Linked DNA regions of Arabidopsis thaliana. The protein of the gene in region 1 interacts with the protein of each later gene in a pairwise test. Each region holds a gene or a part of one and is shown in the gene's direction. Other genes may lie near its edges. The genes, in order: AT5G49990 and AT4G08570.

Region 1 (17,934 bases):
ATGTTATTGAGGTGTGATTTCAAAATTTTGGTAAGATTTTTAACTTATTGTCGTATAATTACAAGTGAATCATACTATAATGCATGTATATAATCAACATTCAAAACTTATAAAAGAGTTGATAAGATCCTATAATATCCCATGATAAGATTATAAGGTATACAAGATACATGTGAACAAGAAATCAAATATCAAATGGGCATTGGAGAAAACTTACAAAGACAGTAAATAGAACTCCTGCCACTAAGAACACATGTCCCGCATTGTTTGGTAAGAGCTCGCGGCGAAGATGTGTTGCAACAAATACAGAAAAGAAACAAACGGGAGTTATGATGAGCAGGAAGGTAAAAGGAATAGACCAAGCATCTGGCCCAAATATCAATCTCCCACCAAACAGAAACTTCTGCAAAAGACCAACAAAAGAGAAGATGATCATCATGTTCAGAATAAATACAGCATAGAGCATTGCATCAAAAGCTACATTCACAAGTGGTAATGGGTTCCATTGAACAAAATCTGACAATAGACTGATAGAGTTCACCAAAAATGCAAGTTCATGCTTGGAGAGTGAACCAATAGTGAATAGAAAGCTCATCAATGTTGTAAATATGGTGATGCATCAGCATGGAACCAAACCAAATCTAACAAATACGGTATATATGTTCAAACTTAGATCTTCGCAATGATAACAATAAATGACACTATCAACAGTGATAGAGTTGAAAAAGATTCGAAATTTAAAGCCACCAAATTCAACATATACAGTCGAATCCAATAAAGCTCACCAATGTAATCTAATTGAATATGATGATACTAATTTCTTCACACAAAAGTACAATTTCCCTCAAAAATGTCCACATTGTTCTCATCAAAACAACAAATCCACTCAGAACATTCTTCTCTGCAATTATTTTTCTTAAAACTAGGACAGTGAAGTCATAAAAATGTCGCCTTTAAGAAAACCTAAATGTAGATTCCAGAAAAGGGAAAAGAGTAAAGCGAAATCGAGACGCCTTAAGAAAGAAAAAGAAAAGCTTACATTACTTCCCTTCCAGGCTTCGAAGACCCGTCCAGCCATTAGAATCAGCGAACGGATCAGACACTCCTCGCTACACTCTCTGACGAATTGGAGGATCCTGAAAATTTTCTACGCCGATTCATTTCACATCAGAACTCCGCCCAAAACCTAAGTGTTGTCTCTCTAGCAACAAAATTCAGGTGGGTGAGAGTAATTTCCAAAACAAAATTGTAGTTTTTGTGTGGTGCGATCTCTTCTCTTCTCTTCTCTTCTCTTCTCTTCTCTTCTCTCTCTCACAAAAGGCGTTTCGTTTCTGGATTGTGTCTCCCGAGACGAACATTACAGTTTTGTTCCTTCATTTTTTTATTACGCATATAAAATTATTTTTGTAATGTTTTAAAAACCGGACCGGTCCGGTCCTGCAGACCAAGAATCGTTCATGTGGCTGAAATTGGGATGAACCGGTATCTGGTCCGGTTTCTAAAACATTTAGCTGCAAGATTTATTCTGAATGGCTAGAGACATGTATTCAAAACTTATAAACTGGATGGGACTACAGTATATCACATGTCACTAGTTCTATGCACAAAAGTCAGGAAATGACAAGTGATAAGAGTCTTAATCATGAAACAATAGGCAAAAATTGCTACCATATTGACAAAAGACTGCCAAATATCCCACCAAATCACATGTCTGTTTGGCACGAAAACAAACATCTTTAATCATTTGTAAAAAAGTTAAATTAATTGTGTGTTTACCATTATAATTGGCCTATCATTGAAAATGGTTATTCAACTTTCCCATTTATGATTCTCTCGGCCACACGACTCACAGATGAACAATAACAACCACACCGACAAAATCTTATAGAAAAAGAAGAAGCAACTACATGATATAACAAACAGCTAAACGACTGAAATTAAAATTTCGCAATCCATCTTAATCATCAACTAATATGAAATATTCAATTTGCATTTTAATATCAATTCCTTCTCTTGCAACTCCGAAACATTATTTGGTTTATCTTCCAACTAGCAACAACCTGATCCCTTTGTAGCTTGACAAGAGTACCACGGTCCAATATGTCTACTACTTTGTTTAGAAACCAAGTCCACTTGCCAATGCTAATATGTCTTAGGTATCCTACAAACAAAGAACCTCATGCTTCTCGATTTTTCGCTTCCATCTTCAATGATTTAAGGTAATCAATGGCTCTATCGATGACTAAGATCGGGTCCACCAGTTCCTCCCCGGGGACTACACTGCGCAAGAGGCTTACAGTCTCAAATATCTTCTCTTCTCCTATCTTGTTACTAGACAGCTTAGAACGTTTCAGAAAACTAATCCTTGTGTTGTCACAACTACCACAGCTCGATTCAGCGTCCCGCATACTCTCATTCGAGGTTTCGAGTATCTTTCTCTTTTTAGCATTTAATGGTTGTCCATAGCTTCCAAGAAATGTTTTTTGGTCCTCACGGCCTGATACTACAATGCTTGGGGAATGGTCTGCGCTTGTAACCTCATCTTCTTCAGAGCAATAACCACTCTCATCTTCAGAGTAAAGCAATGCATTTAGTTCTTCCGAATCCTCCTTCAAATCCGGTTCGCTATTTCCTTGCATTCCGTGACAAACAAACAAATCTTTGTTGCTTCTTTGGAGCTCTTCCTTCATATCAGGACAGGCATGCTGTTTTAGGGTCTCAAAAGATTTCCGTATATCGGAAGCGAGTAGCAAAGTCGTCTGATCTCCAGACTGATCAAACACTAGGAACCTCTTCTGACTACATTGTTCCTCAGCTTTAGATATAACACCGTCTACTTGAAGAGGTACTTGCTTCATACATTGGTTTTGAGGAGGCAAGAACTGCTGCTGTAGGTGGGATGACCCATGAACCCATCCACAATACCCATCAAAATAGGATTGAGAGACTTGGGTAGAAACTTGATAAGATCCACGAGTAGAAAACATGTCGGTGGTGTCGCCGCAGGTTTTAGATACTAAATTCAAGTCTTGCTTCCCGAGATGAGACAGAGCTAGGGAAGACAAGGAACACAAGCGCTGAGTAGGAAACCCAAACCCACGATCTTGTCCCATCCAACACTAAACAAATCAACTATCCAAAACAGAGGACATCATCATCTCAAACAAATCAGCTACTTATAATCAAGAATGGGAGGTCAAAAGATTATGTGTGCAAAGACTGGAACTTACCAACTAAATGGATAGAAGAAACTAGGCTTGAAACAAGAACGATAAGTATCGAGCTACTCTACGTGACGGGCTTCAACAATTGACGGAAATATTCAGCCTGCAAAATACACAACATCAAAGCTAAAACGAAATCAATAAAAAAAAGTTCTGGTGGTTTAAAAATCTAAATATATTGCAATAACATAAACTCATCAAACAAGAAAATAACCTGGCAATCTTGGAGAGGTTGAAAGCATGCAATGACTCTAACTACAATGTTTCCTGTGATACCGTGTTCGTGTTTGAGTGTACGAAATCTTGTCTGTCCCGCTGATTGACAAACCATAACTACTTTCTCCCCAACTGATTCCTTCTCCCAAAACAGAGTATCCAAACGAAGTCTTAAATAATTTGGCGGACAAAGTAAGGGAATGTGAAGAAAAAAGACGACCCCATTACATAAAAAAGCTATGTCTGAAGTAAGATCGCAGTTTACAGAATCACACGACAGAAGACTACTACTGTACGAAAAACATAAGCAGAAAGACACAACCACCACCGCATGCTGTTGCTTTGTTGCTCTTTCTTGTTTTATCTCTGGAGTCAATCTCACTACTTCAAATGAATCTGCAAAATAAACGAGAGCAATAGATTTAGTGCTAGCAAGAAACAGAACACTTTAAAACAAATAACTTAACCTAGAAAAATATGCACAATGCATATTATTACAGAGTTTATAAGTTCTATCTCGAAAACTGAAGATAATAGAAACTCACAAAAGTGGAATGCAAGAGAAGCAAATAGAAGTTCTAAGGAGGAAGCAGAGAGATATTAGTTTCAGTGATGGCGAAGAGAAGTTAGCGAGGAAGAAGATATATACAAGAGAAAAAGACGAAAGTGACCTTCATCATAACAGAGATGCGTGCGTGCGTTAAAGTTTAGGTATCGTGATGCCACAGTGTTTACCAAATCCGATAACAAATGTTTTTGGGAAAATTAGCTGAATTTGGTGGGTTCAAAATCTAAATAGTTGTTTATTTTTCTCGATGTAATTACTAATTAGTAAGATATACTCATAATCCATATTGTTGTTAACATGCTTTTTCGGCTTATTTATATTTGGCTAAAAGATATACATTTGCCCATTTGGTGGAAAAATAAATTATGCCAAATAGCTTGTTTTGGTTGGAAAGAAGAATCAGTCGACTTTCACTTTTCATCACATGTAAACAAATTCAGCTAACGGAATCTAGTATCTTTCAATTCCACCGAAACACAAATATCATTCACATAATATAAAAATGATCATCAATGAAGCTATACAAAAAAAAAAATCCATTTGAAGCCAAAGTATACTTACTTCATGCAATCATGTTTTATAAGACGCTCGCTTATGTATTTTGTTGGTTTCGTACTTTCGTTCATCGTCAGTAAGAAAAGTAGTGAAAGTATCCAATGTGAAGAAGAAGAAGGTCCAATCATTTCTCAAATACTCTCGTTTGCAATGGCTTGACCGTTCAAACCCCAAATCATTTCTACTTTTACTTTTTACCTTTTTGCACCCTCCATTTCCATCTTCTTTGGGTTTCACATTATGTTTTGTCTTCCCATTCTGGTTGGTCTATTTTCATATGGATCTCCAAAACACTTTCGTGGAAAATGTATCTATTGCACTTATAGTGAAAAAACGATGAAATATGTGACGATAAATATAACAAGAAGAAAGGAAAATCCTACAAGACAATTGATTGCTCTTCATCTTTTCTTTATTATAATCTCTTCCAAAATATGTATATTTTTCTATATATACTAAAGTGTTAAGAAAAAAAAACAAGCTTCATTATCATTATAAGACTTCCGTTTTCACTATAGAAGTAGGAACGGTACAAGTCATACTCACTGACTTATAAAAATACAAACAAATAATGATAACATAAGAACATTATTATTGAGATCATAATTTATGACCAATCCACAATAATTTATATTATGAAAATATAAATTCAATATTAGATACTGTAAGATAAGTTTCGAAGGACAAAAAAGGAGATAATTTCTATACAGAAACCCAAATGAACAACCTGCATCACCAAAAATTACCAAGTTAGCCAAAAAAAGTTTTTTTAGCTAGTTAGCCAATGACTTAATCGTATATTATCAATCATAAAACTTGATACCAAAATTATCTAAACCTAATTAATCCCCCAGAAGAAACAGACACGTTCTCTCTTGTCAGAAAATGGCACTGACTAGTAATAATTATACCCAAGATATTTTTCATTGACAATCAAAGACATCTGAAACTATATTCAATAGTGATAGATGTAGAAGACCCATGATTTAGTAACCTGAACCAAATCTTTGATGTACAGATAAGAGAGATCTGGTTGCTCACAATCATACAAGCAGAGTAACATTTAATATTACCACGCCAAATATTTAAGTTATACAAAAACCATTAGGATAATATTACTAATCCGTATAGTATATAAATTAGGATTAATTAAAAGTGGATACACTTAATCCTTACTGGCTTTAATGGTGTCAGGGGCCCAAAACAAACCCTCCACCGTTTCTCTCTTTCTGTGTGTCTCTAAAGCAATCATCATATCCTAGGTCCACCATTTTTATACACATAAAATAACACTCTTCTCATTTTGCGTGGTTAAAAAAAATACACATATATGAGATGTTTTTTTTTGATAAAGACACATATATGAGATGTTGATTTGCTATCTTTTATGTTCTTCAATTCAACAAATGTTCTCGAAAAATATGACATAATAAACTGGCTGAATATCAAGATCATAGTATAATGTGCTCCAAAATGTTGGACCGAGAGTACTTATATAACATCTATATAGTTTACATATATTCACAAAACGCATTAAAAATGCTACATATCACGACTTCAAGTCTTCTAGCATGACCGTGTTTTGTAATGGGTTTCAGAGAATATTGAAATTTAATTTCCTTCTGAGTAAAGGAAAACACGCATGGGAGATGAGTTCACATTCTTTAATTCTTAGATAAAGCAACTAAGTGGGTTTATAGTATAATTTAACTATTTAAGTACACGGAATTAGAGTTATAGTTGAGGAAGAGCTGATCATGTTAATTATTTTTAAATTTTAAATTAAAAAGAAATTTGTACACCTTAAAGGCGAAAATAAAATAAAATTGAGGAGCTTCTAATGGCCACTCCCAAATTTCAAAAGGTATTCATTTCCCATATTTTCGGCATAGAAATTCTAGCTTTTGTTTTATATTTGACCTTTTAATTTGATTTGGTTAATATGTAACGAACATGCGATTATACAATACATTTAAAATAAAAAAAAAAAGAGAAAAGAAGAAGAGCACCATTGTGTATATGCTTTATTTGAGAGAATATATATATTTAATATTGATCTCAAGAAGAATAGTGAAGGTTTTGGTAGGGACAACAGACAATGCATGGAGCCATTTGGTACGTGGATACGCCAACAAAATCATCCACGCTTCGTGCAATTTAAAGCAACCAATACACTTAACCACCACTCTAAGTTCCATTCCTCAATCTTCAAATCAATTGATTATCATATGTATCCCATACGTGTAAGCGTATGTGAAAATAGATTTGGTTCAATTTATAAAAAATAAAAAAGTCAAGAGACATGATTGGATCCACTTATCATTATACTCTATATGCTGACAATAGAACAATATTTTACATAGTATAACTCGGGAGTTGGTCGAGTTCATAGCATCAAAGCGTACTTCAAACACACACTGAGTTGTAACAAGCATGTCCAATTGTTTAGACATGCCACAACCGATATCTTCATGTCAATATCAAATCAAGATGAGAAAGATCGGCTTAGTTCTTCCTAATATCTTTTAACTTCGTAACATCAATTTATATTAGTAGTTTATCCATAGTATGTGAAACCAAGTTGGAAAGACCAAAATCAGAAGTATGATAAACTCCACATACGACGTCAAAAATGTAGATGTCGAAATTCACATACTAATATTTTTGTATTTAGGTTTACGAGGGAGCTCAAATCTTTGATGGGCCGAACATCCAGAGTAATGGGCCAAACTTTTGCACTCACTATTCTCGTCAATAAAATGGTTGGTACCAACACTTATTTTGATAATAAGTGATGATTATTGTTTTTGGAAATACAAAACAAAAAAGTATTTATTTTATGAAAGGAAAAAAAGAAATGTAAATACAGATACATTAGCGTCGAGGCAAGACCATGTGCTCACTCACATGCGGTCTTCTCTTCTCTTCTCATCTTCCCTTTTTATGATTTTCTTTTCCCATTTTCCTCTGCGTTTGATTATCTGAGAGAGAGAGAGAAGAAACTTGTTGAAACAAAATCAACAACAACTTATAGAAGACCAAAAAAAGATTCATAGGATCTTTTGCTTGACAATGAAAGAAGGAAAGGATGGGTTTGTTCGAGCAGATCAGATTGATCTAAAAAGCTTAGACGAGCAACTAGAGAGACACTTAAGCAGAGCTTTGACTTTAGAGAAGAACAAGAAGAAAGATGAAGAAGACACAACCGCCGTCGCCATCGGTGGCTCTGCTTCTTCTTCCCCTGTCACTCTAAACGGCGGCGGATTTGTTGGCAAGAGGAAACAGAGACTTGAGTGGGAGATCGATCCTTCTAAACTTATCATCAAGACTGTTCTTGCTCGTGGCACTTTTGGTACCGTTCATCGTGGTATCTACGACGGTCAAGATGTTGCCGGTTAGTCACTTTCCCGTCGTTCTAGCTTCCTTCTCTCATCGAAACCTTTCCCTTTCATTTTATATTATTAGTTTGTAACTGTGAAATAATGCTAAAGTCTTCAAGTTTAGTTTAAAGTCTCGAATTTAAGAATGGATTACTACATTTGTACTTGAAATGTCGGATCCGAAACAGGCTTTGTACTTGAATAGTTTAGTTCTGTGTTCGTGTTTTTTGACCATGAAACTTGTTAGATTGAAAAAAAGTTTGGATTTTTAAGATTAAAGTTGCTGAATTGTTTTGGATTTGAAGAGTTTTTTTCTTTAGAGGGTAGAAGCAAATCTTGTGATCTCCGTGAAGCCGACACGGGTTTTGCTATCATAAGTGTTTCTTCAGCTACTTGAAAGGTCTCTACTTGGATAATTATGATTCTTTTGCTTTGTGGATCTTTCATGTGATTCCAGCTGTTGTTGTCTCAATCTCTCTTTTTCATGAAATAAATTTTAAAGAAAAAAAGAGTGAATAATAGATCCCTTGAATGCAGTAACTAAAGAGCTTTTTTACTGTTATTAAATTTAAAGTGAAGAAATGAGCTAATCATTGTGGTGAAATTGAGCAGTGAAGTTGCTTGATTGGGGTGAAGAAGGTCATAGATCAGAAGCTGAGATTGTGTCTTTGAGAGCTGATTTTGCTCAGGAGGTTGCTGTTTGGCATAAATTGGATCATCCTAATGTCACCAAGGTTCATATTTCACTTCTGTTTACTTTTTACCATTGTTATATATTGAGGATATAAATAAGATTTGGGTCATCAATGAATGTATATTTTGCAGTTTATAGGAGCAACAATGGGTGCATCAGGGTTACAGTTGCAAACAGAGAGTGGTCCATTAGCTATGCCAAACAATATATGTTGTGTTGTTGTTGAATATCTTCCAGGTGGTGCTTTAAAATCTTACCTGATCAAGAACAGAAGAAGAAAACTAACATTTAAAATTGTTGTTCAGCTCGCTCTTGATCTCGCTAGAGGGTACATTATATTCTCCCTTCTTTCGCTGCCTTCTCAAGTCGTTTATCTGCTCTAATGGTTATTGTTATGTTGCTTTTAGGTTGAGTTACCTTCATTCGCAGAAGATTGTTCACCGAGATGTAAAGACAGAGAATATGTTGTTAGACAAAACCCGGACTGTTAAAATCGCAGATTTTGGAGTTGCGAGAGTTGAAGCATCTAACCCTAATGACATGACAGGAGAGACTGGCACACTTGGCTACATGGCGCCTGAGGTACTATAGTGATAATGCATCATCAAGATTGGTAACAAACCAACTTTTTATAACAAATAAACTTTGGCTGCAGGTTCTCAATGGAAACCCGTATAATCGAAAATGCGATGTATACAGTTTCGGGATCTGCTTATGGGAGATATATTGCTGTGACATGCCATACCCTGACCTTACTTTCTCTGAGGTCACTTCAGCCGTCGTCCGCCAGGTATGGTTGAATAGATTAAGCAAAGAAAAGTTAATTTAATTGAAATGTGCATATTGGTTGTTTCACAATTATATTTTGTTGTAAATCTTGAGGAATCACTGAAGTAAAAAATGTGATCTAGAGTAGTGTAACCATTTCATCATTTCACTGAAGTAAAAAATCTATATGCAATATGCTGCTACATATGATCAATGCAGAACCTGAGACCCGATATACCGAGGTGTTGCCCGAGCGCACTTGCAGCTGTGATGAAGCGATGTTGGGATGCAAATCCGGACAAGAGACCGGAGATGGATGAGGTTGTACCAATGTTGGAGAGTATTGACACAACCAAGGGAGGAGGGATGATTCCTAACGACCAGCAACAGGGTTGCCTATGCTTCCGAAGGAAACGTGGTCCTTAATTCCCAAAGACCAATCTAAGATCATTCAAAACTCAAGATTCGTGTCCTTGCTTCTTTTCTTTTTCTTTTTATAATCCAGAAGGAAAAAAAATGGGAAGGCTTGTTAGGGATCTAATGGTTGCTAAAATTTACGTAAAGAGTATGATTTGGTTTCCATATTCTTCAACATTTCTTGTTTTGCTCTATTTGTGAGAGTTGCTTATTAAATATTTATGGTCACGTATATCATCATCTCTAATCATATATTTGATATAGCTAGTCAATGGTACAACTGTTCTTTTTGTCTTTATGGGTTAACCAACTACACTCGACAGGAACATCCTATTTGATATATATAGTCCAATGTTCAGCTATGATAAACCTCACTTCCCATAGAAGGACCATTAGGTTGGAATGCATAGTCGAGAAACAACTTTGTTGAAGATATTATTGCTACTTCAGTATTGTCTTTTGGTTTAATAGAGTAGATCTAGTCAATAGCTACTAATCTTAGCTTAGTCCACATTTCTTTGCCCCATTATGGTCTAATCTTAGCTTAGTCAACATTTCTTTGCCCCATTATGGTCTTTTTGTAACCTTAGGTTATCTTCTCTCTTTGTATAACTATGGGTCTAACGCCTCATTAACAATAACACAAGTTAACAATAACGTATTATTGAGACTAGAAGCTTGTGCTAATAATGTTTCTTAGAAGTCTAGTGTTTAGTGCCAAATTGTATAGTGTGTTTAAGAACACTGATTATAAATAATAATAGCAGTTGGCGACACCACAATGAAACTATATCTATATCATTCATTCATTACCAAACAAATAAATAAGTATTGTCTTCATTGTCAAAAATTTAGTAATAAGAAAAAAGCGTTGGGGAACTACTAATGACAAATGAATTAAGAGTAATGACAGGTAAGAGGTTGTTTTCGTGGTGACGTCAATCGGTGCACAAAGTAACGCTGATATAGCGAAACGTAGACAACTGTCCCCTCTGCTCCTTCCTCATCAAGCCTCTTCTCTTCACTGCTTCTTCTTCTAGTTTACTCTCCAATTTTCTTCTGCTGCTGCTTCTTCACAAGGTTTCTATTTCTTCTAATCTGTGTATAATCTCTCCTCTCTGCTCTTCTTACTTAAACAGAATCATTTTTAAAACTCTGCTCTTGATTTTAGCTTTAAAAACGAGGTCTTTTTGTTGGGTTTTTGTTCTGTTTCGCCTTCTTTCTTCATTTACGAGCTTTTTGAGCTTAAAGTTCGTGACTTTTGCTGCTTTCGTGATTTGGGTTTCAGTAACTTTGCGGTTTATTGAAGTTTTTTTGGTGTAAAGTTACAACTGTGGGTTTAGCTCAAAACGAGGTCTTTACCTCTGTTTTTATGTTTTCTACTTATTGAGCTCAAATTTCGTAGCTTTTGATTCTTCTGTGATTTGGGTTTCAGTCACTTTTCGGGTTAGTGAAGTTTTTGGTGTAGAGTTTTGGTTTTTATTGTTTTTGCAACTGTGGGTTAGCTCAAAACGAGGTCTTTTTCTTGTTTTCTGCTTCTTGAGCTCAAATTTCGTGAGTTTTGCTTCTTCTGTGATTTGGGTTTCAGTCACTTTCTCGTTATGTGAAGTTTTTGGTTTAAAGTTTTGATTTTTATTTTTTTGTTGCAGAGGTTGAAGAATGTCAGCTCCGAAATCGGGTGGTGATCCACTACCACATCCGCCGAAAGAACAGCTTCCAGATATCTCTTACTGCATTACAAGTCCTCCTCCATGGCGTTAGTTTCTCTCTTCTTTTCCTTTTCCCTTAACGTTTGACTTCTAGCTTTTGTTCTAGGCATATCCCTGGTTTTGAAGCCTTGTGATTGATTAGCTTCTTCCATTTTTACTTTTTCTGATTTTGGTATCATTTACTTTTTGCTTTTTGTTGCAACGTGAGGATTGGATTCTTACTTTTCTCTTTAAGAAATATTCGTTTTTACCTTGAGAATCTCCTACTAGGTGTTTTGAGGATCATTCTTTGCTAACAAAGGAAATTAAACTTAATCCACCCCTTGGTTTTGCTATATGTTCAATCTAACTTTTATTTTTAGTGTTACTGTATGTTTCTAATTTGGTAGTTGGTTTTTGAATAATTCTTGTTTGAATATGAGGTTTTAAGCTTCTTAATTAGTAAATGTGAGACTGAGTTTATTCTTGTCTTACAGCTGAGGCTGTTCTGCTTGGGTTTCAACACTACCTTGTGATGCTTGGAACAACAGTTCTGATTCCATCGGCTCTTGTTCCACAAATGGGAGGTAGAAATGTAAGTTAAGTCTCTTTTCTAGAAAGATAGTTGTTCACATTATTCTTTTCAGTCTTTCATTGTACTTAAAGTTTATGATTTTGGCAGGAAGAGAAGGCAAAGCTGATCCAGACAATATTGTTTGTAGCTGGATTGAACACACTGCTCCAAACTGTGTTTGGAACTAGATTACCTGCTGTTATTGGAGCATCTTATACATTTGTCCCGGTTACTATCTCAATCATGCTTTCTGGGAGATTCAATGACGTTGCAGATCCAGTTGAGGTTCGTAGCTCACACTTATCCCCTAATTGAATTGTGTTATTATCTATTTAGTGTACTATCACTATCAATAAAGTTATGCTTGAATATGAAGTTTTACTCTAAATTACCTTTTTGATACCTTATCAGCGATTTAAGAGGATAATTCGGGCAACCCAAGGTGCTCTTATTGTTGCTTCAACTCTTCAAATTATCCTTGGCTTCAGTGGCCTTTGGCGTAATGTTGTAAGGTCAGTCTTTGAGCTACATTAGACTCAAATCTTGTTCCACTGTGTCAGGTTAAAGAATATGATATTGAACTTCTGTTCGTCCAGGTTCTTAAGTCCACTATCTGCTGCTCCTTTGGTTGGATTAGTTGGTTATGGCCTGTACGAGTTAGGTTTTCCCGGTGTAAGTCTCTTTGTTCTGTAAATGGGAACAGATAAACTAAATTATATCAACCTAGTGGAATCTTGATTCTTTGTTATTTTGGCCAGGTTGCTAAGTGTATTGAGATTGGACTGCCTGGGCTTATTATTCTCATACTAATATCACAGGTAATTGTAGGTAAAGATTCATAACTGGTAGCAATTTGCAGCCGGCTCATCTGTTCTCATTGCATAAGTTATTGATCCGGATGTGTTCTTCCAGTATGTTGATGTTTCTAATCATCTGGGTCATACTTTTTGCTGGTTTTGTAGTACATGCCCCATGTTATAAAAGGAGGAAAACATGTGTTTGCTCGCTTTGCTGTCATATTTTCTGTGGCGATAGTATGGCTTTATGCTTTCTTTCTTACACTTGGTGGTGCCTATAATGGTGTTGGGACAGATACTCAAAGAAGCTGTCGGACTGATCGCGCTGGGCTTATAAGTGCTGCTCCATGGTAAGAATTTCAGAACAAGGCTTGAACATTGAATGTCTCGCTGAGTTATGTTAGCAAAAAAGTATTTTCTTTAATGACCTGTCAGTGAATACAAGTGTGGCTTAGCATTTTACGCTTATTAATTGTGCAGGATAAGAGTTCCGTGGCCTTTCCAATGGGGAGCACCATTGTTTGATGCTGGTGAAGCATTTGCCATGATGATGGCTTCTTTTGTTGCTCTTGTTGAGGTTTGTTTCACTCATCTTCACCTTTTTTAAATGACATTAGACAATTATTTATGATATGCATAGATTTTCATATCCATTTATATAGAAAGGCTGTCCTTAATAGATGAATTTCATAGGTTGCATACTCATTAACTTTTAAAGTCAATGAGACTCTCTCTTCATTCTTTCGAATTTTCTTGCTCTTTGGTTTAATCTCATCTTGCTTACTCATTATGTTGACTTGTTTGTCAACAAAAAACAGTCCACAGGTGCTTTTATTGCCGTCTCAAGATATGCTAGTGCCACAATGCCGCCACCTTCTGTTATCAGCCGCGGGGTTGGTTGGCAGGTAAATACTCACTTCATAAGCTTCATTTTACAAATACCATCTCGAGGTTTTCTCGGGGCAAGCAAGTGGCCATTTATCTAACGTTGTGCCTCAACTATGTTCTCTTCTGGTTTAGGGAGTTGCAATTTTAATCTCAGGGTTGTTCGGAACTGGTATAGGGTCTTCAGTTTCTGTGTAAGACCTCCTATCCTTTTCCCAAATCTAGGACATGAGCTGATTTTGAATGGTGTGGTGAGTTTGTTTTCACATGAATGCAGCGAGAATGCGGGTCTGCTGGCACTAACAAAAATTGGTAGCAGGAGAGTTGTTCAAATATCTGCAGGCTTTATGATATTCTTCTCAATTCTTGGTAAGCTTGTCTCTCTCACAAAAATTCATTAAGAATTGAAGTGGACTACGTTAAGTAATCGTCTTAAATAAAACTAATGCAGGGAAGTTCGGGGCAGTATTTGCATCCATACCTTCTCCTATCATAGCTGCCTTGTACTGTCTCTTCTTTGCGTATGTAGGTAAGTATTGTTTCTTTTTTAGCTTGGTTTAGATTGAAGCAATTTGGTTCAGATTGGTTTGCTTACCAACATATAGAGCTAGAGACTTGTTTTAGCTATGAGCATCTTTAATACAAAAACTGTTGTATAGGTGCTGGAGGACTGAGTTTGCTGCAATTCTGCAACCTGAATAGCTTCAGGACATTATTCATACTGGGCTTCTCAATCTTCCTAGGCCTATCAATTCCACAATATTTCAACGAGCACACAGCCATCAAAGGCTATGGTCCAGTTCATACCGGGGCAAGATGGTTCAACGACATGGTCAATGTGCCCTTCTCGTCCAAGGCCTTTGTGGGAGGATGTGTGGCTTACTTGTTGGACACGACGCTTCACAAGAAAGATGGTTCGATCAGGAAAGACCGAGGTAAACACTGGTGGGACAGATTCTGGACTTTCAAGAACGACCCGAGAACAGAAGAGTTCTATGCTCTTCCGTTCAACCTCAACAAATATTTCCCTTCTGTCTGAAAAAAAATCCTTCCAAACTTTATGGAATGCTGTTTTGCTAGTTTTGTGTCCCTTAGGAGGACACACCTTATCTAGCTAGGTTTTATGTGCATATTCGGTGAGGAGACTATAAAACGCAACTAGATATTATAACCCAAAGTGTTAAGTAACATTTTAGAAATATTAATGTGATGTTTCTTCTATGTTTAGATGTTTTGCATTAAAGATGATACTCGTTTTGCCAAATTTAGAACTAGAGTATGTATGCTCTGTTTTAATACAAATGATTAAAAGAGAAAATTTTGTGAGTTTTGGAGGCTTTTCGATTCTAATTCTATAACAAAAAAAATTTCCTACAAAAATTTGTAATGCTAGATTTGACGTTGAAACTCTTATGATATACTTTTGAAGATAAGTAGGGGTTCATGTGCTTCATTCTCTGTCGTCCATTTAAACACTTCTTTGGTTGCATATAACTAGTTGATAGGAAGTTAACGATAACTAAAAGTCTAAAACAGATGGTTAGCCACAACGATGAGTATTTGCACACAAAAAACAGAGCCTCAATGATGAATGGGTTTTGTATTTAGTTGTGTTATACTGTATTTGTTTTGTTTGATTGGTAGAATAATATGTGCTTGTTTGTGGCACATATATAAATACATTTTTGACTGATAAAATTTAAAGACGTCATTAGCTAAATCGGTTACCACTTACCACCTTAGGTTAAGGTATAAGAAGTTATAAACTATTGTGAGTTACTTAATAATAATCTACGGATCAAAAATGTTAGAATCCAAAAAAGTGCACTAGTTCGAAATCATTTATGCGGGTCTATACATATAATTCGTAGGAGGTTACTTGAAATGATCCCAACCAATTTGTTCATATTATCTATGCTTAGTGATTTGGTTTAAGACAAAAAAAATTACCCTAACCAATATGGTTAAATTCTCAACTTATCTCGAAAAAAGGGTAGGCAAGTGTCCTACACTATAGAAATGGATAATGTTGATTTTATTGTTTTCTAATTAAAACATTGCTAAAATAGAGATCTGAAGAAAATAAAGAGGACGAAACTGTAAAGTGTAAAAACATTGATGGAGACAAGAAAGCAGAAAAAAAGAGTTACATTTTACTTTCTAGTAAGAAAAAAAAAACATGAATATTAATTATTTTTGTACATAAATATAAGAAGACAAAACAGAAAATTAAAAATAAAAAATAATCCCCAAATAATGGAGACGAAGTGGAGAGAGAAAGCTCCCACTCTCTCACACCCCAAAGCTTCTTCTTCTTCTTCCTCTTCTTCCTCTTCCTCTTCTCTAATCTGAATCCAAAGCCTCTCTCTTTATGACACAAGATCGCTCAGAAATGTCTGAAGATGACGATGACCAACAATCTCCACCGTTGGATCTACCCTCTACCGCCATAGCTGATCCTTGCTCATCTTCCTCTTCACCAAACAAATCTCGTAACTGTATCTCAAATTCTCAAACTTTCCCTGACCATGTTCTCGAAAACGTACTTGAGAACGTTCTTCAGTTCCTAGATTCAAGATGTGACCGTAACGCTGCTTCTCTAGTTTGCAAATCTTGGTGGCGTGTTGAAGCTTTGACTCGATCTGAGGTTTTTATTGGTAACTGTTACGCTCTTTCTCCGGCGAGGTTGACTCAGAGATTCAAGCGTGTTAGGTCTCTTGTGCTGAAAGGGAAACCTAGGTTTGCTGATTTCAATCTCATGCCTCCTGATTGGGGTGCTAATTTTGCTCCTTGGGTTTCTACTATGGCTCAAGCTTATCCTTGTCTTGAGAAAGTTGATTTGAAGAGGATGTTTGTTACTGATGATGATTTAGCTCTTCTTGCTGACTCTTTTCCTGGGTTTAAAGAGCTTATCTTGGTTTGTTGTGAAGGTTTTGGTACTAGTGGTATCTCTATTGTTGCCAACAAGTGCAGGTAAATGTTACAACTTATTGGATATGAAAATGCTATCTTTGAGTAATGTTTTGATAGTTATGAACTTATTGGATATTAATTTGTTTTCAGAAAGCTGAAAGTGCTTGATTTGATTGAGTCTGAGGTCACGGATGATGAAGTGGATTGGATCTCTTGTTTCCCTGAGGATGTAACTTGTTTGGAGTCTTTAGCTTTTGACTGTGTGGAAGCTCCTATCAATTTTAAGGCGCTTGAGGGTCTTGTTGCTAGGTCACCGTTCTTGAAGAAACTTAGGCTAAACAGGTTTGTGTCTCTTGTGGAGCTACATCGTCTGCTACTTGGAGCTCCACAGCTTACTAGTCTTGGGACTGGTTCATTTAGCCATGATGAGGAACCTCAGAGTGAGCAAGAACCAGATTATGCTGCTGCATTTCGTGCTTGTAAATCTGTAGTTTGCTTGTCAGGGTTTAGAGAGTTGATGCCGGAGTATCTTCCAGCTATCTTTCCGGTGTGCGCTAATCTCACCTCCCTGAACTTCAGTTATGCTAACATTTCTCCTGACATGTTCAAGCCCATCATACTCAATTGCCACAAACTCCAGGTGTTCTGGGTATGTATCCTTCTTGATCTATGTCTTCATGGCTTTATTAAGTTATATGTGACTTAACTCTAGTGACCGTATTGTTTGTGTTAGATGGATAGAATGAATAAACTTGATATTAGTTGTGTAAGGAACTTGAGTAAAATGCATGACTTGAACTTTACAATGCAGGCCCTTGATTCAATATGTGATGAAGGACTACAGGCAGTTGCAGCCACTTGCAAGGAACTCCGTGAACTCAGGATCTTCCCTTTTGATCCTCGGGAAGACAGTGAAGGTCCTGTCTCTGAATTAGGCCTCCAAGCAATCTCCGAGGGTTGTAGGAAACTAGAATCTATTCTCTACTTTTGCCAGCGCATGACTAATGCCGCTGTGATAGCCATGTCAGAGAACTGTCCAGAGCTTACTGTGTTTAGGCTGTGCATAATGGGTCGACATAGGCCTGACCATGTAACAGGAAAGCCTATGGACGAGGGATTTGGTGCCATTGTTAAAAACTGCAAGAAGCTAACTCGCCTTGCAGTGTCGGGATTGCTGACAGATCAAGCTTTTAGGTATATGGGTGAGTATGGGAAATTGGTCCGTACGCTTTCAGTAGCTTTTGCAGGGGACAGT
Region 2 (14,932 bases), on another chromosome or scaffold:
AGATTTTACTTCTCTCATGTGTTTAGAAGTATCTATTGTCCTGTTTGTTGACATACTTTTGTTTGTTTTCGTCTTGAATATATGTGGATGTGTCACCCAGTAGAGGGAGACATTTCGCTAACGAGGATCAGGAGTTTGAAGACTTGAATGAAGCTTTAAGAGTTAGTTGCGAAATGGGGTATCCAGTTCGAGTTGTCAGGTTAGCAGAACAAAACTCCATTGCTCTCTCACATTCTCATTTTTTCGTTAAGTTTCCGATATCGAAAGTTGTACCACAAAGGTGAAATGTATTGCTTTTCTTTGCATTGAATGAAGAATAGAGTTATGCTAAGTTCCATAGATACAACTCTTAATATCAGTTTCCATAATCTAGGTCTTACAAGGATAGGTATTCTGCATATGCCCCTAAGGAAGGAGTGAGATATGATGGTGTATACAGGATCGAGAAATGCTGGCGAAAAGCTAGATTCCCGGTACACACATATAGTGAAACAAGCTTGTAATTTTTTCCCTGCCCTTTATATGCATTGACATGTTCTTCTCATTCCATAGGATTCATTTAAGGTCTGTCGTTACCTGTTTGTAAGATGTGACAATGAGCCAGCTCCATGGAACAGGTTTGGTCTACTTCTTAGAAGCACCTTTTCGATATTCTGAGTTTAACACTGTGATAATATTGCAGTGATGAGAGTGGAGATCGTCCAAGACCTTTGCCTAATATTCCAGAGCTTGAAACGGCCTCAGACCTGTTTGAGAGAAAGGAAAGTCCATCATGGGATTTTGATGTAAGTTCCAATTATAACAGTTAGCGAGTGAGACGTGAGCAGATCTCGAATTTTCTGTATTGTGCTGATAATAATATACGCTTATATTATCAGGAAGCCGAGGGCCGTTGGAGATGGATGAAGCCTCCACCTGCAAATCATGAGCAGAGGGAGAGAATGAAGATGGCTATGACATGTCTTCTCCTTTTTGTCCTTATCATTCTCGTTGGTTCATCATCTATCTTATATCAGTATTAGAAGAATCACCGACAAATAACTTGTTGGTTTGATCCCTTAGTTGTCTTTCTTGTTACCAACAGTCTTTTCTAGTTCTCTCACTACTCAAGTCTTGGAAACTTGAGGTTCTCTTGGTTAGTGAAGTCGGATTCATATTTTTTTGTATGCTTCCAACAATTTGTCCCTGCTCTCAAAAGGTGCAATGAAGTTTTTAAGTATATAATGAATTATGTTAGGTCTTCATTCTTTTGAGCAATATTTTTAATTACTAGGATTTAGAGGACTCAGAGACATAACTGAGTAAGATGTTACGATGTTTTTTTACTACCACATACCACTGCTGCATCATTGGATTTTAAAAACAAACAAAGTAAATGTTGGTGCGGTTTAAGTCTCCCAATCTTTCATCTTCTTGCTCCCTTTTGGTTTTGCGATTGGAGCATCCATGCCTGCCATTTTCTTGTTGTATTTTTCACGTAGAGGATCATTGGAAGTCCACCTGCACATTCATTCATTTTATGTAAGTATTATTATCAAAATCAGCAGCTCATGCCAACACAAACAGGTTCACATTCACATGCAATAATTTAGTTCAGTTGCCAGCTTACTGTTTCTACTCAAACGCTAAATAAATCAGATTTCAGAAGCCTAAAATGAGAGCTATGAAGTTTATGCCTAACCAAGATGCAAGAAAAGAAACGCTAAAAGCAAAGAACTTACGGGTTACTCCAATCTGTTGTGTCTTCATTGACAAGGTGAGTCCATTTAGTTCTTCCACTACGACCAAAGTGCTTGACTTGCATAACTTTGGGGAGAATCGATTTGTCCAACCTATCTTCTCCGGTTGGAGCAGAGAAGTCGCGCTGAAATATACCATCGGTTCCAGCAGAACCTGCCTCATCATCAGGATCTGCCTGGAAGAAGGCACCCTTATGGTAATATTTCTGCATAAAGTTCCATTTCTTTTTCGGTTGAGCTGAAGAAGGTTTCGGATTCTTCCTCTCCCAATCTCTCCTCTCCTGCTCTGTCATATTCCTCAACTTCTCTATTTCTTCCCTCTCTCTCAGCATAGCTTCCCTTGCATCTCTTTCTCTCTTGATCCTACCAATCTCTCGTGTCTTCCAAACTTCATACTCCTCAGCTTCATTGAGTTCGTCATCAGTTTCCACATCTCCAATATTAGCTTCCTCCAATAGTATGTTCTTCCGTATCTCTTCATCTTTCCTAACTTCCTCAACCACAATTTGCTTTGTCTCTATTTTTCTTTGCTCCAATTTTCTCTTTGCTAATTCCTCAAGAGCTTCTTCTTCAGCCTCAAGCCTCTCTCGCTCTGCAATTGTATCTCTCTCAGCTTTCGGTACAAAAACAGGCTTAATCAAGGCAATACCAGGCATATCATCTTCCGAATCAGTCTCGTACTCAGACTCCTCCTCCTCCTCTTCTTCCTCTTGTATCTCATCTTCTTCTTCTAAAGGAAGTAAAGCAGCCTCCTCTTGTGCTCGTCTAAGATTCTTCTCCTTAATTCTTCTTCTTCTTTCTTCCAAGGCATCTTCATCATCATCCTCGTCTCTATTCTCTTGATTCCTCGATTCTTCTTCTTCCGTAGATATAATCTCAGCCTGTCTAATACGCCGATGATCAGCTCTAACTTCGTCACGGTTTTCAACTTTAGTCTGAGCTAAACGCCGCAGCCTTGGATCATCCTTCCTAGCAACACCCAAATCATCATTCTTTGGAAAAGCTCTATCCAAAACAGAAAACTTCTGCATCCTAACATCATCATCTTCTTCAGCTTCCTCAGCCCACTCCGGAGCTTTTCCTGGCCAATACCTTCTTACTTTAGTCTGTCCAATACCACCTTTTAGTTTCTCCCTTACAGCAATTGCAGATTCACTCACTCCCGCTGTGACCGACATATTTGCACTTGCAAGTAACCAAACTCAATCAAATTAGCTATCTGTCTCTGCAGCACAAAATAATACAGGGATTAGATTCAAGCTTTGCATCATTAGTATTCACCAGAAAAGGAAAGGAAAAGAGCTACTTCCCCTAATCGATCCTCAATAGCTAAAATCTTAAAGAGACAACAACAAAATGCATTATGTACAATGCATATCATTGATGTGTGTGTGGGTGAGTATATCAACATAAACACACCAACATGAACAATGGACGCTAGAGAAATTCGAAGATTGCACATTTTAACGAACTATAACATTTTCAATAGTATGTACATACTTAATCAAGTGTGGTGAAATCAACAATCCCAATAGCGAAGCTATTGTTCATACATAAACACAAGCACGAAAGAGAGTAAACTGTTACAAAGTTTTGTCTTTTGACAAATTTGCATACAGAGTCAACAAAAAGTCGATATCTTTCTGTACCCAAAAGCATAAGAACCAATAAGAACAAATAACAATAGAAATGATTAATCGAGAAAAGCCCTAGAATACAAATTCGTGAAACCCTAAATCTCAGAACAAAACAAAGATCGATTTCGCAAGATTTAGCTTCAGTAGAAACAGATCGACATCATATGAGATCGAATTGATAAGAAAATCGAGCTTACCAGGAGATGAGAGAGTTTCGGTTAGAGATTGCGGAGGAGACGGCCCTTAGGTGGCGGTCTCAGCGGCGGCGATAAATGTAACCTTGACGGCGAGAGATTGATGTTGGCCCAAGACCATTAAGGCCCAATACTTCGGTTCGTAAATTTCCAACTAAACGTGAATTTTAGTAATTTTTTGTGAAATTAAGAAAATTGTTATTATTTTTATATTTTTCCTAAAACTATACACAGTAAAATTTCCATAAATTAATAATTTAATATAGATGAGACTATGGTATTTTCTTAATTTATCAATTGATCCAAAAACAAAATTTAGGACAGAAAAAATGTATTAATTTATCGGGTATTAATTTATCGATTATTAATTTATATGAGGTTTTATTAGTTCCATAACCTTAAGATTACAAGATATTTACAAATAGTATAACTAATAACACCGAGTTTTATTAAAAAAAAACTATGAAAAATGTAGTTTGAGTAGTAATTGTGAAACAAAAGAATTGAATTTTGGTTTACATAACTTTAGAGATGGTAGACGGGCGTGCCCGCGACCGAACGGACCGACCGCAACATGCTCGCTTTTCCATTGATCCGCGACGAACCGGACCGCAGACGACCGCGGTCTTGAAAAGTGAGTCCTAACCCGCCCCGCAAAGCCCAACAGTTAGACAGACCGGCCCACGGTCTTTAGAGGCAGAAGAACTTATGTTTGGTTGATTGACGAAGTTGTACCTTGTTTCTATGAAGTGTTAGCTTCAAGGAATATTGTGAAACGTTATGTATTAGCTTGAAGTACTTAAAACATTTAAGTCAAAAGTACTTAAAACAGAAATTCTAAAACAGTACAAAACATATATATGTGACATGTTTACCTTAGCAGCATAGATCTCAGAGTCTTGCTTCTTGATTTTAAATTCGTTTTTCAAGTTACAGACTGCTTGGTGACTTTTCCTGTGAGACACCAACAATATCATGTCAAATCTTGTCGCATTTGTCAAGAGTTGAACTGAAACTTAAACTCTTGACTTGAACATTGCAAAACAGAGATATGTAACATGTCAAAAACATTACAAAACACTTGACTTTAGCTAGATTTTCTAAAGTAAAAAAACATTACAAAACAGAGATATGTAACATGTTTACCTTAGTATTAGAGCTTTGTGATGGTGAAGCACAAAAGATCACATAGGAGAACTCTGGATGTTCCTGCCACATATAAAGCTCCAACTCTAACTTCCATATTGTGAAAAACATGACTCTTACTATATAAAACGTTGTGAAGAAAAAGAACTAGTCACTAATCCACACAAAACATATTGATAAACACAAAAGACACATGAAACAGGGATTTACAGGACATCATAAACGTTCTTATAAGAAGAATATGTGCAACTATCAAAATTAAGCTCAGTCCATGTAGGAGACAAACTCAAAGTCACCTGAATCGATTGGGACACGTTCTTCTTCATCAACCTCAAAGGTCGTCGTCGTTGCCGTATCAAACCGTGTTTTTGAAATGTATGATCCGATACATGAACATGCTTCTTCTATAAACGAAACTCTAAGTCGTACACATTGGTATAGTTATAGAGATGACTTCATCATCTTGATGTAGGGTTTCGTTTATAGAAACAGCCTTTGCAACGTTTGCTATATAATCAATATGAAGCTTAAGCATATAAACCCCGTAAAAAATATTCAAGGTTCACTTTGTTCAGTTCATAAAATTATGTTTTTAATGGTTGACGACAAAAACCAAAAGAGAAGTTCTAAGCGAATATATTAAGTCATACATATAGCCTAGAAAAAAATAATTGAAATCGTTGCATATGATTTAAAAAACCTTAGATATATCATACTAGAGACAGTCACACGGGAATGGTTCAAAATAATATTGTAAAATAAGTTTTAATTGTTGTTTATTATATATTGAGAAATGTTTAAATTCTTTTGTAGTTGTAATTGATTTATTTATATTTCATATTATTATAATAATATAGAAAACTAGCTATAATTGTATATATTAAGTAATGTTTAGATATTTTTGAAATAAATTATATTCTATTTCATATCAGTAAGAGGAAATACTGATTTATAGTTTCTGAGAAAAAATATGTGTAGCCATTTATAGAAAAGAGCATTTATTAAATTAATTTAAATATAAAATAGTGTTCTTTTCATGTTTATGTTTACGAGTTCAAAAACAAATTCGTGTGGGCTTGGCCTCTTGGTTTAAAGCGGACAATATCATATTAGAGAAAAATATTTGGGCTTGGAGAGTCCAACAATTGATATTAGAGCCTATGTAAAAAAACGTGGACCTAAAGAGGTGGGTTTGGGCTCCATGTTCGGTATGGAAAGAGTTCTCAATGTAACACGATAAGAAGAGTGCTTCAAGTTGTCCTTGCAAATAAGGAATGCCAGAGCCTGGTGCTAAGGTTTTGCTTGAGGGGAGGGCCTAAAGTTCGGGGTTTGGTTTGAGGAGATAATTATTGGGAGACAAACCAACGTCTCACATCAAAAAATTAGAAAATATTAGTCTAATATATAAATCATGTTTAATTCCAATTAGTAGTGATACCTTTTGGAAAGAAGACAAAAATAAATCCGCGCGGGCTTGGCCACTTGGCTCAAAACGGACAATATCATATTAGTAGGAGAGTTGACTTGGGCTTAGAAAGACGTCATAAGATTTGAGAGTTAACCATCAACTTTAAATATTGGAAATCATACATAAACCACAAGTCCGTTAATAAAACTGTGACATATGATTTCATTCTTTAATATTTTGATACATTGTTATGAAAGTTTTAGAACCTTAACCGAGTGGAAGAAAACTTTGGCCCATACAACTCTAGTCTAGTGGTAGTTGAGAATTGCGGAAAAATTGAAAGGACTTAATCAGATTCGATCTACCATGAAAAAAGCAATACAATATCAGTCGAGCGCATGCATATAAATCACAATCTTTCGTCACCTACTAATTTGTCTTAAGTTGACAAAAGTTGCTTTTTACAAAAGTAAAATAAAAAGCTTAGCGAATGTGCCAAAGAAACTGTGTCGTTACATATGTATATATTTGATTTAATCAATAAAAGGTAAATGGACTTCTTAAAACCTAACTTCATCGACGTCATAATTGTAAAAATTATATAAGCGTTGTTCTATATCCTACATAGTTTATATATCATTCTCAGCTTAAATCAGATCGTAATCCAAGTAAAATCTATTAAAACACAATCTCATATTCCGGCCTTAACAATAGCAACTATTAGTTGAATATAAATTAGTCAGATGGATGATAAATTTCCCTCGTTGATGCTAGTGAACTAGAACTTTTGAAACTATAAACACATGCAAAATTGGTTATTTACGTTGAAATATTTATGAATGAGAATAACTAGCTTTTTCACATAGTCAAAGTTAGTATCAATTTTGAGTTGGAATCATGCGCTTAAGCACAAGTGATTCATGGTGATTTCAACGTAAAATACCTATTTAGCATAGATTGGTTAATGCCTATCCACCATATGAATAATTAAAAATAGTTATCGAGCCAAAATGTATACTATAATCTTTGGCTGTGTTCAACGAAAGCAATTATGGACGAGCGCGGTTCCCTCATTTATTACTTAAATTGTAGATATTGCTCCATGTAAGAATATAAGATACTGACTATATATTGACTAATGTATTACTCCAATTTAACGGAAATAAAGGTGACACATGTACTCAATCAACAAGATGAGTTATTCATAATGTAATGAAATGGGACATATCAAAACTTGAGTGGTAGAGTTGCTGCCTCTTAATTACAAACAGTTTGAAAGCAACCCCTCCTTCTAACTAAATCTGATATTGCTCCTTATTATAGAACATGTGGTTGCAATTTTGTGCACACATATAGAGTTTCTGATGATTTTATTCATTCACCATAAATTGTATTTGGTATAATGATTGATGCGAGAGATCACTTCGTAATAGTGGATGTTTTCTTCAGATAGTCGCTACATGTTGAATTGTGGTAAGCTTATTTCTACTAGTAGTGTTATATAATCTCAATGAATTGTATAGCAACAGGTGGTACTTTAAAATACATATTTTGAAAACAAAACTTCTCATCGCATCAACAATTCTACTTTGACTTTGAGCCAGATGTCTTGGCAACAAATCGGAGTTTACATGAATGTCATTTTCATTTGTATTTTTGTTTACATATTATTGTCAATTCATTTAAATTTTAAATGCAACTGACCCCAATCAAAAACTTGGATCAATGTCTACCGTTGAAACATGACACACAATTACTAACTGCCATGTGTCCTCCAAAATTGATAAATCACTCCTCAGTTATTTACGTCTGCGTTTAATTTTTCAAACATTTGACTGTTCCCTATCTCATAAGTCATAAACTAATACTCATTATCTTTTGTTATTTCCCACTTTTTGAATTAGTAGATTTTAAATAATAAAAACGAGACATGGTACGCTTACAAAAAAAAAAATTATGAATGCCAAAATGCAAAGACTGGTAAATATGTCACATATATTTTATATAATTATTTCAAGTTAAATATTTTTCTTTTTTTTTTAACGTTTTTTATGGACGTCTTAAACTTTCCAACATATTTCTTTTTTTTTTTAAAACTTTCCAACATATTTCTTTTTTTTTTAAAACTTTCCAACATATTTATGATTTGGAATATAGATTACCTCCATCAAAATTCATATAATATAAATATATTATTTATTTGTTTTATTTAGAAATAAACAAACAACGATCGGCCAAAAAAACAAAAAAACGAGAAAAACTGAAAAAGTATTCGTACGTATTACCCACCCAAACTTGCATGGGTTATATATAAGGGTGTGTTGGCAAAATAGTCACTTTTTCATACTTAATTAGGAAAGTAGTCATTTTACTATTCATAATTTGTAAAATAGTCATTTTTTGCTGTTTGATTCGTACACTTAGATTGTACATCACTTTTAGTGTACAAATGTAAAGTGTACGCTGTATATTTTTATATATATTTGTACACTAAAAGTGGTGTACAATCTAAATGTACGAATCAAACAGTGAAAAGTGACTATTTTACAAATTATAAATAATAAAGTGACTATTTTTCCAATTAAGTTTAAACAAATGACTAGTTTACAAATTAACTCTATATATAATGGATTAAATGCCAAAAGTTTCATTTCACCTCGGTGGAAGTTTCTTGCACCCTCCACGAGACCCCAAAAGCAATTAATGATCTTTGTTTTGTTCTTTCAGAAGCAATAATGTAATCCTATTTTATTTTGTTTTTACTAAGCAAAAGAAAAACAACTCAACAAATAAACAAATAATCTGCTATTGTCACATGAGTCACATCTCCTTTACTATATGAAATGCGCTCACTGTAGATAAATGTAATCTCATCCCTGCACCATATATGGTACAAAGAAAGAGCCTTTCTTCCTCACTTTTATCTTCACTCTCCTTGAACATATTTTCCCTCTTAATATCTTCAAGGAAAAAAAAAAAACTGCAAAGAGAAGTGGTGTGAGTGAAAATGGGAGTGGAAGGAACGATGGAGTATATATCAGACCTTTTAAAGAAGAGGAAGAGGAAGAAGAAGAAGCAAATGCAAACAGTAGCTCTCCGTGTTGCTCGTATCGACTGCGAAGGCTGTGAACGTAAGATCAAACATGTCCTCTCCGGTGTCAAAGGTAAAGAAAATCAGTTTTAGCCAACCATCATGATAATGGTTAGAGATTTGCCATGTTGGTCGAAACCACGGATCAAATTCATTCCACTACTTTTGTACATGCCCCGTCTAAAGCATAGAGCCATAGACAAAGAAAATCATTAATATATGATATATCTAACATTTTTTAAATGCCAACTTTTATTTTAAAAAAGTAGATTTTTCTATATATGTACAAAAATAATATGAATGGGGTATAATTAAATTTTAAATCTCGAGTGGACATATTGGCATTACAATATGTGTTTTTGAATATATATAACACTACCAATTTATATACTCGTTGGACGATAGAAAATGTGACATTTAACAAAAAAAAACATGAAAATTGGATTTAATTTGCATTGGACTCGTTTGGACAGGGGTGAAGTCAGTGGACGTGGACGTAAAGCTGCAGAAGGTAACGGTAACGGGATATATAGACCCAAAGAAGGTTTTGGAGGCTGCCAAGTCAACGAAGAAGAAAGTGGAGTTATGGCCGTACGTTCCTTACACAATGGTGGCGAATCCGTACATATCTCAGGCGTATGACAAGAAGGCACCACCAAACATGGTTCGGAAAGTCCCCGACACGGCCTCTGTCAACGAGACCACCGTCGATGACTCTTACACTATTATGTTTAGCGACGAGAACCCTAATTCTTGCGCTATCATGTAGAAGAGTGTGCTTTTGTAAATTAATTAAGTATATGGCTATAGATTATATTATACTATTATATATTATCGGTTTTGGTAATAGTACCTACGTAAGAGTCGTGGTGTACGGGTTTGGCTTTACAACTATTACGTGAGAAAATCGAGATTTCTTAACACTTATAAGGAATTTAAATAAGAGGTTTTATAGATAGCTAAATTATGTTTTGAAATATTCTGCTGATGAGTGGATGATATATAATTCATTCGTTTAGAGTATATTCACTTTTTATTTTGGATAACTTGGGTGTGATCCAGTTCAAAGGATACCATAAACTCCGAGTCAAATCGCGGAGGCTTTTTTCCCAAGCTGGTTCTCGGGTCAACGAGTCATGAGCAGAGCGTGCCTAGGTTTTTGGTGGTCTTAGGCAAATAAGGAAAAACATTTTATACATATTGTGATAAAATGTCTGATAATGTATAATTAAATTTAACATATTTTTCAATAATTCCTGAATTTTTGCTTTCACCGGATTATCGGGTACTCTTATGAAATAGATTTTCGATTTAAGCTCGGTGTTCACAAGTTGGAGAAAAAGTTCGGTATATCTAAGACTCACTATATACTGATAATTTTAAAGCATATAAGCTAAACAAATATATGGTGACATGTGTTTATATAAAAAAAGATGATACATTCGGTTCCTCAGTAGCTTTAGCTTTGCCCTTTGATTGGCCCTTATAACTTAATGATGGAGTTCCGGTGCTTCCATTTTTTCTCTGTTTGATCCTGATTAAAGAAAACAGAGACATCAATCAAATAAACTAAAGTAAAATGAATAAGCCAAAAGCAAAATTATACAAGTGAATCAAAATATCGAAACTAAACGTAGAAGACCAAGATTGTGTTTATAAGTAGAGAGGAATATTATCTTTCACTCATGATTGACTACCAACGACTGTTTTTTTAAGAAAAAAAGGTGTTTAGTTCATAATATTTTTTGTGAAGATAAATCTTGATGGAAAAATATATTTATAAGAACTGATATTAGATGTTGGTTTTGATAAAATTAAAATATGAAATATTCAAAATAGTCAAAGATTGAGCTGATTTAAAGGAACTTATATAGTTGTTGTTTGTGTAATATCTTATATTCGACCGAAACAAAATTACAAAATATCCAAAAATTTGAACTGATTAATTTAGTATTTGAATTTCCTACATTCTCTAAACAAATTAATTAATTTCAATATATTAAAGATTAAAAAAAATTATAAGTTTTCTTCACGTTAATTTTGTTCCTCTTCTATTTTAAGGCTAAATAATTTTTAAAAAATTCCTTAGTTTTTTTTAGATTTGTTTCTTTTAACTTCTGTTGAAAAAGCTAACAATATTGGCTACTTTCTCTTCTTGATGTTTTACAGCAGAAAAGACCGAGAAATCGAATGAAACAGTATGCACATAATTCTTCAACGTTCCTTTGTTTTCTCTTTTTGTTATTCTTCAATGTTTTCTAATTTAATTACTTCAATTCCAAACACAGGACAAATGTGCAGCTTGTAAGAAAACAGTTTATTCCTCTATAGAACATGACAATGAAAGGAGAATCTTCCCACACAAGACTTGCTTCACATATGTATGCAAACTCTAAAACACCTAACTTTATGAAACATAAAAAAAAGTGAAGAAAAGTCTTCTTACATTGCAAAGAGTATCGAAAATGCCTAAAATGAAAGATAAATCTAACAAAAAATGCCTACCTATTTTCTAATTAACTATAAAAACACAAACACAAACACAAAAACAAATACAAAAACAAAAACAACACCAACACCAACACCAACACCATTTATCAATTGTGGACTCCTCTTCTCTTTGTAGATGTTCTTCTATGTCCAAATATTGAGTTTCTGGAGTAATTTTCTCCCATATACATTGCACCTCATGAATGGAACATTTCTGTTTATATAGAACAACAATACATGTCGCACATGATCCTACAAAACACCAACCACAATATAAGTTGGTAAAAATCCACATAAAACGACTCCGAATCATCATGTTTATCTCTTACCTCGGATACAATCCACGCTGTTTGAATCACATAATCTCCATATGGATCTACAAGAAGTGAATCAATGTCACTTAGCAGCTCCGCTATGATCCTCCTGGAGGAAAATTCTCTACTTTCCAAACACTTCTGCACCACGTGACTCCCATACTTGTCATAAGAGAGTTGCACGTAATTTCCATCAAGATGTTTCGAGAGAGCACTTGTCACCTCATAATCTTTCAAACGCAACAAATATTGCACCACGTAGTTTCTGACCAATAGAGATTTTGGTGTAAGAGTACTTAATGTGATTTATACAATGATTAACGCAAAATCATAAAAGAATCTTATCTTACCCGTAGCAATTCCCGCATAATCTTACAGCAATACTGATTATCTCCTTAATCAAAGGGTCTCTTAGCTCTCGAGAGGATTGTCTAATCAATTTTTTAAGCATACAACATCCATTTTGATCTATTGCAACTTGATAACAATTTTGAACAATCACTTCAAGAAGATACTGTCAAATATAGAAGAGACCACACATGAAAAATGATCAGTAAAAAGCATATATTAACAAGTTCAAACCGGTTTACAAAATTAATACTTATGGTCTACCACTACTCATTTTCTTGTAACACAAGCAAGAGAGCTCGAAAGCCTTTGTTACACTTTTCCCACACACAAAACAATTTAAGTTTTGAAAGCTATGTAACCGCGAGATTATTAAAACCAAATTTGATGAAATAACAAGTTCATAGTTCGAATCGGGCCATCTAAAATTCCAAAAATGTGTTGGAAATTTAAGTATTCACAATCTTGGTTATAAGAATTCTGGTGAAAATCTCTATTAGCTATAAAATAATGTTTGAGGAACAAAGAAGTAAAGATGCTTACTCTGGTATGTGAAGGAGAAAATTGATTGAAGCAGAACAAAATCACACGATGAGCAATAACGTCCTTGGTCAATAGAAGTGAAACATAGCATAGAGTTTCCATGAACCGAGATATTTGCTCTTCAGAACAAAGACTACGCATCAAACCTTGTATTGCATGTGTTCTGTTATCTCCAACATAAGAGAGAAAAAAACAAAAAAAAACAAGTCACATGAATGGTATTAGTGAGACTAAATGAAATGGACATAAGAATAATGCGTACCCGTGTGTATGGACACAAAGCCTAACAAATTCAAAAGGTTCCTCAAGGACTATATCCAAAACCCGAGTGATCTGTTCATCGGTGCATTTCTCCATAAGCTTTCGAAAGACTTTATGGCCATAATAATCAAGCATCAATTCACATACATGTGAGATCAAATTGTCAAATATCTTATCAATTGTCTCCTTTAAACCCTTGGCAATCACATATTGCAACATGTGAGACTCTATACCGTCTTTAGCACGCGATAATAGAGTATTGCGGATTCCATACATATAACCATATGCATCATCACTCCAAGGGGTTTGGTCAAAGAAAGGATTACTTGGTAAATAAGGAACGTCTTCTAAATTTCCGTATGGAGAACCCATGACACTAGCACTACGACTACGTTCATGAAAAGACCTAAGAGCATCATACCCATTAACATAATTATCTTTCAATCTCTGACTGATTCCTCTGTTCTCGTCCAGTGTTTTGCTGAGAATCTGAAGGAAACCAGTTCACACGATCGGTCATACCTTGATCCCCACGGTCCAGTTCGGAGACACCAAATCTTCTAAACTCATGTTCTAGGGTTTGCAAATCAGAAGAAAATAAGGTTTCAGGTGAGTAATCACTCAAGGGAAACGAATGGTCGTAAGTTCTGAGACGCTCCCACAAAATCCGTTGAGCGGGAGATTCCACGGCTTCCTGAAACGGTGCGGCCGCCACTCTTTCGTTCTGATTGCTCATTGGAGAAGACTTGGACCACGACGACTTGGAGATGCGTTTAGTAAAAGGAGATGTTGAGAAATGAAAGATCAGGTTCCGATAATTATTAGAGATGCTAAGGTAAATCTTATTTTATAAAGTATGAATTTCAAAATTAGGAACTCATATGATTGTACCACGTGTTAATTTTATTGATCTTAGATTTTGACACGTATAAAACAAGTATTTCCTTTTATTAATTTTAAAATAAATGTATATTTCTTTTTTACTTTCAAATCATAATATAACTTGAGAATTTTTTTTCTTATACAGCTTTTTTTTTAAAATCATAAGATTTTTTTTTTAATTATTATTCTTAGATAGCTTGTTAAGAATTTTAATTTATCCAATCATACACTTTATGCATATTAACCGGATTTTTAATAAACTTGTTACCTTCTTTCTTTAAATAGATCCCATCTTCTCTAGCTCTCCAATCCCATAGGCCTCCATGATCCTCCATACTGAAAAGCTTGAATGCCGTAAAGCTTTGATAGTGTATATAGTTAGGACCTTGTCTCAAAGTACACATAAAACGGGTGGTACCCCAAAAGTTAGTGCCAAAATAATCTAGAAAATGTCCTCCGATTGGTATTATATGTGGACCTAATACATCATCTTTAGAATAACACCTCATCCAGAGGTTTTTCTTGAATTTGAGCTCGTTCGCGATCCTGATTCTTGCTCTCGATACATGGCCAAACATGCAAAGGCTAAACACAAACATAAAGATGGATAGGTTTTTCATTTTCATTTTCTTTTTGGTAGATGTTTAGATCTTTGGTTTTGGTGTTGTATATATATACACATTTGTATTACTATTGTTGGCACACATTCCCTTCGGTATTAGATTCAATGTTGTAACACATATGGCATAATATCTTACATTTTGAATGATTTGAGTTTTAGTGAGTTTTTATATGATTTTCATGATTTGAGGGAAGTTGATGTGATTTATTGTAAAATCTTTTCAAATTCCATCTAAAACCATGAGATTTGGATTTCTA

What was found.
Region 2: the proteins of AT5G49990 (region 1) and AT4G08570 interact in a two-hybrid assay, tested with the Arabidopsis thaliana proteins (one large-scale study listed by BioGRID).

What each region holds. Positions count from the first base shown.
Region 1 is NC_003076.8:20,334,735-20,352,668, reverse strand, and holds AT5G49990 (Xanthine/uracil permease family protein), read left to right. Parts: upstream 1-10,633; 5' UTR 10,634-10,902; exon of another isoform or gene 10,903-10,922; intron 10,923-10,962; exon of another isoform or gene 10,963-11,471; 5' UTR 11,472-11,481; coding exon 11,482-11,578; intron 11,579-12,007; coding exon 12,008-12,105; intron 12,106-12,192; coding exon 12,193-12,369; intron 12,370-12,495; coding exon 12,496-12,596; intron 12,597-12,680; coding exon 12,681-12,756; intron 12,757-12,842; coding exon 12,843-12,902; intron 12,903-13,046; coding exon 13,047-13,231; intron 13,232-13,361; coding exon 13,362-13,458; intron 13,459-13,699; coding exon 13,700-13,786; intron 13,787-13,901; coding exon 13,902-13,960; intron 13,961-14,043; coding exon 14,044-14,135; intron 14,136-14,217; coding exon 14,218-14,295; intron 14,296-14,425; coding exon 14,426-14,805; 3' UTR 14,806-15,083; downstream 15,084-17,934. Other genes in the region: AT5G50020 (DHHC-type zinc finger family protein), read right to left, coding at 218-403, 1,040-1,136, 1,428-1,459; AT5G50010 (transcription factor bHLH145), read right to left, coding at 2,178-3,113; AT5G50000 (Protein kinase superfamily protein), read left to right, coding at 7,636-7,957, 8,556-8,677, 8,769-8,965, 9,045-9,219, 9,293-9,427, 9,625-9,831; AFB5 (auxin F-box protein 5), read left to right, coding at 16,138-16,739, 16,830-17,328, 17,491-17,934.
Region 2 is NC_003075.7:5,450,175-5,465,106, reverse strand, and holds AT4G08570 (Heavy metal transport/detoxification superfamily protein), read left to right. Parts: upstream 1-9,006; 5' UTR 9,007-9,131; coding exon 9,132-9,288; intron 9,289-9,688; coding exon 9,689-9,984; 3' UTR 9,985-10,527; downstream 10,528-14,932. Other genes in the region: ORTHL (ORTHRUS-like protein), read left to right, coding at 101-199, 374-473, 553-617, 683-785, 879-1,022; AT4G08580 (microfibrillar-associated protein-like protein), read right to left, coding at 1,389-1,500, 1,722-2,917; PUM15 (pumilio 15), read right to left, coding at 11,924-12,314, 12,370-12,533, 12,911-13,073, 13,173-13,466, 13,793-13,931, 14,391-14,673. UniProt on the Arabidopsis thaliana protein: Heavy-metal-binding protein.